2 linked regions of the Rattus norvegicus genome follow. The protein of the gene in region 1 purifies or fractionates together with the protein of each later gene. This does not show direct contact. Links are inferred from orthologs where the notes say so. Each region holds a gene or a part of one and is shown on either strand. Other genes may lie near its edges.

What was found. Proteins that work in one complex are often made in the same cells at the same time.
Region 2: the proteins of Fbxl15 (region 1) and Skp1 purify together in Homo sapiens (affinity purification with western blotting; 10 studies listed by BioGRID and IntAct, counting the BioPlex papers as one, with this or other methods). This does not show direct contact. The link is inferred for Rattus norvegicus from reciprocal best matches to the Homo sapiens genes FBXL15 and SKP1.

Annotation. Positions count from the first base shown.
Region 1 is NC_086019.1:255,129,791-255,133,895, forward strand, and holds Fbxl15 (F-box/LRR-repeat protein 15), read left to right. Parts: upstream 1-1,363; 5' UTR 1,364-1,654; coding exon 1,655-1,707; intron 1,708-1,872; coding exon 1,873-2,026; intron 2,027-2,293; coding exon 2,294-2,799; intron 2,800-3,263; coding exon 3,264-3,453; 3' UTR 3,454-3,605; downstream 3,606-4,105. Other genes in the region: Cuedc2 (CUE domain-containing protein 2), read right to left, coding at 3,843-3,989, 4,073-4,105. UniProt on the Homo sapiens protein: Substrate recognition component of a SCF (SKP1-CUL1-F-box protein) E3 ubiquitin-protein ligase complex which mediates the ubiquitination and subsequent proteasomal degradation of SMURF1, thereby acting as a positive regulator of the BMP signaling pathway.
Region 2 is NC_086028.1:36,901,408-36,905,707, forward strand, and holds the start of Skp1 (S-phase kinase-associated protein 1), read left to right. Parts: upstream 1-1,500; 5' UTR 1,501-1,583; intron 1,584-1,621; exon of another isoform or gene 1,622-2,062; coding exon of another isoform or gene 2,063-2,068; intron 2,069-4,300. UniProt on the Homo sapiens protein: Essential component of the SCF (SKP1-CUL1-F-box protein) ubiquitin ligase complex, which mediates the ubiquitination of proteins involved in cell cycle progression, signal transduction and transcription.

The DNA of each region.
Region 1 (4,105 bases):
AGACTCCAGGAAGAACTTCCTTGCGGTCTAGGTTAATCGTCCTGCCTTTTCAGGGGTTAGAGTTTAGAAGGGATGACCCCGAAACTGGGACAAGAAGCACAGGCAAACCTTGTGCCCTTGGCCAGGGTGGAAAAGGGTCTGACTATTTTAGGAAAACGCCACACGAGTTACTATGGTAACTATTCTCCTTTGGAAGGCCAAGACCCGCAGGTTATGACCTGGGAAGGAAGAGAGGGTCGATTCGGGTGGCTAGAGGGTGCGAGGATGTTCGAAGCGGGGGTGCGCGGGGCTCACCGCGGGGAGGGGTGGCGCGAGTTCCGCGAGGTGCTGAAGGGGACAGCGCCAGATTTGTCGTAATGCGCAAGCGCAGAGGTGCGAACAAAGCGGGGGGGGGGGTGGTGGAAGGGGAGGCGCGCGCCCGGGGGTGGTGCGCGCCCACATGTATCTTGCAGAGATCCTTCGAGGCTACCCCTTCCCCAAGTAGGCTGAGATGAGGAAGCAATCCCCTCATCCACCTTCACCCTCTTCTCTCTTTCCGGTGCTGGTTGGCCTTAGCTACATTGAATAATGAAGTAGTGTAGTAGGAATTCTGGGAAAACCAGGATTTCTGGGTTCTTTATCCTTGCTTCGTTTGATCCTGGTTAAGGAGCTTCCTCGCCAGAGCCTCGGTTTGTCCGACTTTAAAATGGACGGACCCTCCTACCTTTGCTGGTGTATCCAAACCCCCTAAGCCAACGGATGGGAAGCAGCATTATGAAGCGGCTGAAATGTTTGCACGCAATCATGTAGGATGCAGCGTGCCCCCCCCCCATCAGACACTGGAGGAAAATATTACGCCAGGGGTTCCCCAGAGATGGACTTGGCTTAGCATTTGGGGATGCAGAGAAAGGAAAGTCTTATGATTGAGCTTTGGGGAGTCACTCTCCCTCCAATTAATCCAGGGCCAGTCAAGAAACAGTACGACTAGTGGGCTACGCTGAGCATGCATTCCCTTGAATTTTGGACTTCTGGAAAGGAAGCCTGGCTGTATAGTCTTTTCTTCTTGGGCAAAGAGCCGACCTACGCTGCCTTGAAGTGGAAAGAGATGGAAGTCATGATTGTGCATTTCACGATTCACAAGGAATGATAGGTTTAGACAAGTTTGCTTGATAATAAAAATCCTGGTGTCGCCCGCTTAATCTACTCTTTTGGTAATTGCTTACTGAGCACCTACTACATACCAGTTAGTTATAGTCTGGGCAGTCTCTCCCCCTTTTATTTTTCCAGAGTCGCTTAAACGCGACCAGAGGACAGAGGAGGCACTCGGTAACCTAGGAGTCCTGGCTCCGCCCCTTCTGCCTTTGGCCTTGTCTGCTCCTCCCATCACCACTCAGAGGCGGCTACCGGCCCGCAACGAAGACCGAAAGCAGTCTTCGCTCGCCGCTACTCCAGCCTCGGGCTTCAAGCCCTGTAGCTGAGAAGACAACTAATGGTGCATCACTGGTCTGTTCTGCCTCAGTTTCGGGGTCCATCCAGAAAGCTTCCCGATAAGGATTCTCAGTGAGACCGCACTCGATTAAATCGGTCTGTCTCTTCAGACCAAGGAGGCGGGTTCGCCGCAGCCGCTTCAAGGCCAAAGCTAGTAAAGCTTACTGCGCACGCGCAGTATACAGCGATGGAGCCACCAATGGAGCAGTCCGGAGGGGAGCAAGAACCAGGAGCCGTCAGGTACCGAGCACTGGAGGGGCCTAGGGAGGGGAAAAAGGTACCCGCGGGAGGGCAGCTGAGCCCGGGCAGGACCCGGACCCCTCTTGCCAGCTGGGACTCTGGGGTATAACAGAAGGACTCGCACGTAACAGCGGCCGAGGGACGTCAACGCCGCTTTCCCTTCAGGCTCCTGGACCTGCCCTGGGAAGACGTGCTGCTCCCGCACGTCCTGAACTGGGTCCCGCTGCGCCAGCTGCTCCGGCTGCAGCGCGTCAGTCGCGCCTTCCGGGCGCTCGTTCAGCTGCACCTGGCTAGGCTGCGCCGCTTTGACGCCGCTCAGGTGAGCTGGGGACTGGACCCCGCCCCCGCCCCGCCCCCGCGTGGGTACCACCGTCGCCCCGCCTCCAGGCCAGCCCCAGCTGCGCGGTAAACCCTTTCCAACCCCTGGTGCGACGTGGAGAACTCCGGTGGGCGAGTACTGAGCGGCGACTCGGAGGGAGCTTGGTGTCTCTCCGGGGAGGGCAGGTGGCAAAGTCCCGAAGTTAGGCGGCTGCCAGGCAGTGACCGGCCCCGGGGACAGACTGATCTCCGTGCCTCCCGCCCGCAGGTGGGTCCACAGATTCCACGGGCCGCACTAGTCCGGCTACTGCGAGATGCTGAGGGGTTGCAGGAGCTGGCGCTGGCTCCGTGTCACGAATGGCTGTTGGACGAGGACCTGGTGCCGGTGCTGGCACGGAATCCACAGCTACGGAGCGTAGCACTGGCCGGCTGCGGCCAACTGAGTCGCCGAGCACTCGGAGCGCTGGCTGAGGGCTGCCCGCGTCTGCAGCGCATTTCGCTCGCTCACTGTGACTGGGTGGACGGGCTGGCACTGCGTGGCCTTGCTGACCGCTGCCCGGCTCTGGAGGAGCTAGACCTCACCGCCTGTCGTCAACTCAAGGACGAGGCCATCGTGTACCTGGCGCAGAGACGCGGCGCGGGCCTCCGCAGCCTCTCGTTGGCAGTCAACGCCAATGTGGGGGACACCGCGGTCCAAGAGTTGGCTCGAAACTGCCCGCAACTCGAGCACCTAGACCTCACCGGCTGCCTTCGGGTCGGAAGCGACGGTGTCAGGTGCCTGGGCATGGGGGCGGTACGGTAGGAAGTGGGCAGTCACATGGGGATGGGGAGGCGGGTTGTACTTGTCAAAGACCCATCAGAAAGGCCTCTAGAATATTTTTAGGCTAGAAAGTGTACAATTAAAAACAAACAAAAACTTCTGATCCAAGATTGACACACTGTGAGATGTCACATAAAGTTAATTTCTGGCATTTCTGCAACAAAGGGATGGGTAATCTTGAAACACTGGAAAGAACTATGGGTTGGTATTCTCTAAGCACCAGAAACCCCAAATGAGCTGGGGCCTGGAGTCTGTAATTCCATCCTGGCCCCTTCTCATAGGGACAGTAAGAAAGAGCAGGCCCTGAGCTGAGGGAAACCTAGAATTTGCTGGAGCCAGAGCAGGTTTAGCGAGCTGGCCCTACAGACAGACCGCGAGAGGGCCTTCAGCACCTAGCATCACCCTGCTCCTCCCTCAGGACACTGGCGGAGTACTGCCCGGCGTTGCGCTCTCTGCGGGTGCGGCACTGCCACCATGTGGCCGAGCCCAGCCTGAGCCGCTTGCGGAAGCGTGGTGTGGACATCGACGTGGAGCCACCGCTGCACCAGGCCCTGGTGCTACTCCAGGACATGGCTGGCTTCGCACCCTTTGTCAACCTACAGGTCTGACTGACTTTCCTTGGGTGGGAGCACAGCTGGACTGTGTAGATGGAGCTTGATACTGAGCCGTAGGGAAACTGAACTGTGGGGCCTGCGGTTGAGAGGCCTGGGATAGCCCTGTCCCACCCTGGAATTTCAAATAAAGAGCTTTTTACCCCTTCTTGCATGGTGCATAGGGGATGTGAAGCTGGTCAGACAGACATAGTATTTTCTTGCCCTGGGGCAGAAATCACTAGAATGAACGTACACCTTCCTTGGACAACCTTTACTGTGCTGTTGAAGGAAGCTCCAAGAATAAATTAACACTAGAGCAAAGGCATAGAGAAGGGGTAGGGTGGACGGGAAGGTTTCTGCATCCTTCTGGGATCTGTGATGCCTGGCAGAGTCCAGCCAGTGCCTCAGTGGAAGCGGTACTTTCTGGCCGGCTTGAGGTTGATGTATGTGGCCTTCATCTCCTCAGTTTCGGGGTTCCGTACATCTTTGAATCGCTCTCCTTTGGTGCTCACTACTTGGTTGTCAATGTATCGGATCAGCTTCTTGGGGGCCTGGCAGACAATCAGGCAACGAATGACTAAAACCAGGGGTTGGTACCGCTCGTTCCATATCCCCAACTGCATACCTCTCTTACCTCCTTGGGAGCCATAGGTCTGTGAGTCTTCTG
Region 2 (4,300 bases), on another chromosome or scaffold:
TTCATCTTCTGTCATCAGCTGTGGCACCTGGCAGACATTGGATACCACAGCCATCAGACAAAGACCTGGTCATTCAAGCCATTGCTTGGCCTCTCTGCCCAGACTTGTCCTGGAGAAACTGTAGGCTCTGGTTTCTTTAGGAGGCCCTGTGTGGAAACGTCTTTTGTCTTTGTGGTGCCAGGAATACCATCATGTGCTCATTGGCTAGGTGAGCCTGGCGCCTTGGTGGGGATAGTGATGCTCCCTAGACACAGCGGGGCAGGGCAGGCAAGTGCCCAGTTCCTGGCTGGGCTGAGGCCAGATGGGTCCTTTCAGACCTCTCCCTTTACTTCAAAGTTGTTTCATTCTAGCGACCTTATCACAGCCTTCTGTGAGCTGCCCATACAGCATAGTCTGTTCAGGTTGGGCTGACTGTCCTGGTTCACTACTGGATGGATTCCCAGCGCGGGCCTCACAGGCCTCACACACAGGCAGAGAGCATGATTACCCGAAGAATATACCCTCCATTCCACATCCCTGTTTTCTCTCTCCAGGCTTGGCGCTTCACTCCAACAATGGCTATTTGGGGTGTGAAAGCCTCTTCAAAGTTCAAAGGTAGGAAATAAAGGTTAAGATTATCCAACAAGGTGGTGCCTGCCTCCCAGCGCTGAGCTATTGGAAACACAGATCTGAATTTAAAGCCAGCCTGGTCTAAATAGCGAGTTCCAAACCTGGTTTATCTAGTAAGACCCTGTTTCAAAACAAAACAAAACAAAACAAAAAGAGTATAAGGCGAGTATATGTGGTGAAAAAAAAAAGCCGGTAATCTCACGAGTTTTAGACCAACCTGGTCTACGCAATGAATTTGCAGTCACTCTGTGCCAAACGAGACCCCGTCTTAAAATGCAAAGAAAATAAAAACTAAGCAGGTGCACCAAGTCAGGAGTATTTAGAGACACCTTGACTCAACATCCGTAATTTTTTAAAGCTCAGTTATCAGTGGAGTAAGGTTCAAGTCCTTAATTCCAGGTCGGAAAAAAAAAAAAAAAACCAAACAAACCAAAAACCCTTATTTCCTTGGGTTATTAGGAGAGTAACAGTGGTCAGGCTGAGGTGACTCCTTTAAAGCACACCCACCCACAACCGGTTTTGCGGTTTGTTCTTTCCAGGCTTTTCAGGACTGGGGTCTTTCAAGCAGTTTAAGACAGCCTCTGCCTGAAAGACCCTTCGGGTCGCGATGGTTCCCCAGCCGGTGCCGGCGTCCGCACGGAAGGAGAGCACGGCGTTGTTCAGGACGGCGGAGTAAAGTGGAAGTCCCCCTCCTGCTCAGCCACCCTTCCACCCATCGCCGCTCAGCACCTCTCCAGGAGACCTCTGCGGCGCCCAGAACCTGCCACCCGCCTTCCGCATGCCGTCAGGCACTCTCAACGGCCAGCCCGGCCGGCTGTGTGACGTCACGAACTCGGGGTCCTCGGTGCCCTCTTCCCGCTCCTATAAAAGCTGACGCCGCGCGGCGCTGCTGTAGTGGCCTTGTTCTCGAGACTTCTATTCGGTTGTGAACTCTGTTCGGCAGCCTCAGGCCTGCGGTCTTGAGACCGAGCACGGTGAGTAGCAGCCCGCGAGCCGGACCAGGTCCTGGAGGGAGGGGCTGGGTGGGAGCCCCGGGTTGGCTGTGGCGTGCACGAGGCGGCGAGTCGGCCTGGCGTGTCCTGAGGCGCTGTGCGGCCCGTTGCCGACCCCGGACCGCGGGAGGCGCGAGGCGGCCGAGTCAGGCCTTCTAGGGCCGCCCATCCTTTCGGCGCTCGCTCGCTGCTGTATCCAGCTCTGTGGCAGGCCTGCTCTTTTGCGGGCGACGTCAGTCGGCCCCGAACGCGGCTGCAAGGCCTAGGCTTCGTCCCGGGCCTGCCTTAGCGACAGGCTTGTTGCTCCGCGCTCCAGGGCGGGTTGGCCGCAAGGCTTTGAGTAGGGGTCCCGGGCCTTCCGGGTGGTGGCGGTCGTTGCCACTCGATACTTAGCTCTCTCCCTTCCTCCTGTATCTGGCGACATTTGCTCCTTACTGGTCTTACCTATTTAACCACCGAATATGCAGGTAACAGGTTCCCGATATTTCTTCGCTTTTTTTTTTTTTTTTGTCACGTCCTGCAGTCTCTGAACTTATTGTAATAGACCTTGTCGTCTGAGGTGTGTGACTTTTAGGAGCCCTTGACGCTAAAACCCAAGGTGTTGGGTTTTTAAGGGATAGTGTTAAAACATGCCTCTTGGCTCACTTTTTCATGGAGTCCTCAGGTTTGGAGACTCAGTTTTTCATCAGAATGTTACAGTAGACTGTGTTGTGGCAAAGAACAATGCACTCCCTTCTGCCCTGCAGTCCAGTAACAAGTGGCAGAATTTCGAGTCACTTAAAACAGGTTTGTTTTTAAAGTCTGTTTTAAGTGTACTAGAATTCTCATGCTAGACTTGGATGGTGGTTTAGTTTCCAAGTCCAGGAGCTTAGAGAACTAAAGAAGGGTTTTTTGAAAGCATATCAAATCGAAATCTCATACATTATTACTTAAAAATTTTGCACTTAATTCCACCACAACAAAAGTGAAGTCTAGGATTACAGAGTGCATTGAATTACAGATTAACTGATTGCCTCCCTGGCTCTCTTGCAAGTAACCTGATACCTAAATTTGACTATGACTAAGCATGTCTTTATTGTGAATTATTTCAAGGAAATATGGAATTGTCTTTTAAAATAACTTTATTAGCCACATAGACTTGTTCCTGAGTGATCATTACAGTGCTGGGGACCATAAAGAGAACATAGTGTTTTGCTATTAAAAGCTGGTCTCTTTAACTTTTATTGTTGCCTTATAAGGAGGGTCTGCTGCTCTGGGCTTCTCTGTTCTGCAGCATATTTGTGAGTTGAAAAGTGAACTCTTGAGTCTTTTCAACCATGGATGATTGTGAAACAAGCTTTATCCCCCCCCCCCCCCCAATTATTGTTTACTTGAGGAATGGGGACAAGTGTCTCAGAAAGCTGAATGAATATTTTAGGAGATACGCCGAGTCTTAAGTGTTTGACCCTTAAATAGGTACAATAGTTATTTTAAGTGCTAACCCTATAACACCCAGGTATTCCTCAGAAGCATAAGACCTGCAGAGTTACATGTGAGTTGGGGATTTTGGTGCCCACCTTTTTTTTTTCTTTTTTCTTTTTTCTTTTTTTCGGAGCTGGGGACCGAACCCAGGGCCTTGCACTCGATAGGCAAGCGCTCTACCGCTGAGCTAAATCCCCAACCCCAGGTGCCCACCTTTAATCCCAGCACTGGAGGCAGAGGCAGGTTGATGGCTGAGTTCAAAACCAGTCCTTGCTACAGAGCAAGTTGCAGGACAGCTAGGGCAACACAGAGGAACCCTGTCTCAAAAACAAACTACTAAAAAAAGTTGCTTATGAAATTTTTTTTTTCTTTTTTTTTTTTGGAGCTGGGGACCGAACCCAGGGCCTTGCGGTTGCTAGGCAAGCGCTCTACCACTGAGCTAAATCCCCAACCCCATGAAATTTTAAAGAGGTCTTGAATTACTCTTTTGGAGTAATGAGGGGGAAATCTGAAGATGATAAATTGCTGGTTTAGAGCTTTTAGTATTAATACTGGTTTGCTTTTGTTTGGTTTTGGTTTTTCCTAAAACTCAAGTCATGTTAGGAGCTAGTTGCTTAATTTTTTTAATATATGAAATTATATTTTTCCTAATGACTTATATTTTATCTCAGTTGATGCATTTTTGGATGGGGGGGTTGTTGAGATCAGTTTTTGAGACAGGGGCAAGAAAACTAGGCTAGCCTTAAATTTATTTTGTATGTATCAAGAAGATGGCCATGAACTCCTAATGCTTCTGTTTGCCAAAATGCTGGGATTGTGGAAATACTTATACTCTGTCTCACCTTTTGGGCAGAGGGAGAGGGCAATATTGCAGATTGAACTAGAGCTTTATACATGTTAGGCATTACACTCAGGAGCTGTATCCCCAGCCTCTTTTATATTTCATTTTAAGCAGGCTCTTAATGAGTTCCACCAAGGCTGGCTTGACCTCATTATGTAACCTAGTCAGTCCTTGAAATTATGATCCTCATCTTTCCAAAAACTGGACTTCACAGGACTGGTTCCTCTGTATATCCCTGACAGTTCTGGAACTCACTGTGTACACTGGCCTTGAACTCACAAAGATGCACCTGTACCTTGACTCCCACGTGCTGGAATTAAAGGCATACAGTATTACCATGCTATTTTAAATTTATATTTGTTTGAGACAGATTCTTATGTAACCCAGACTGGACTTG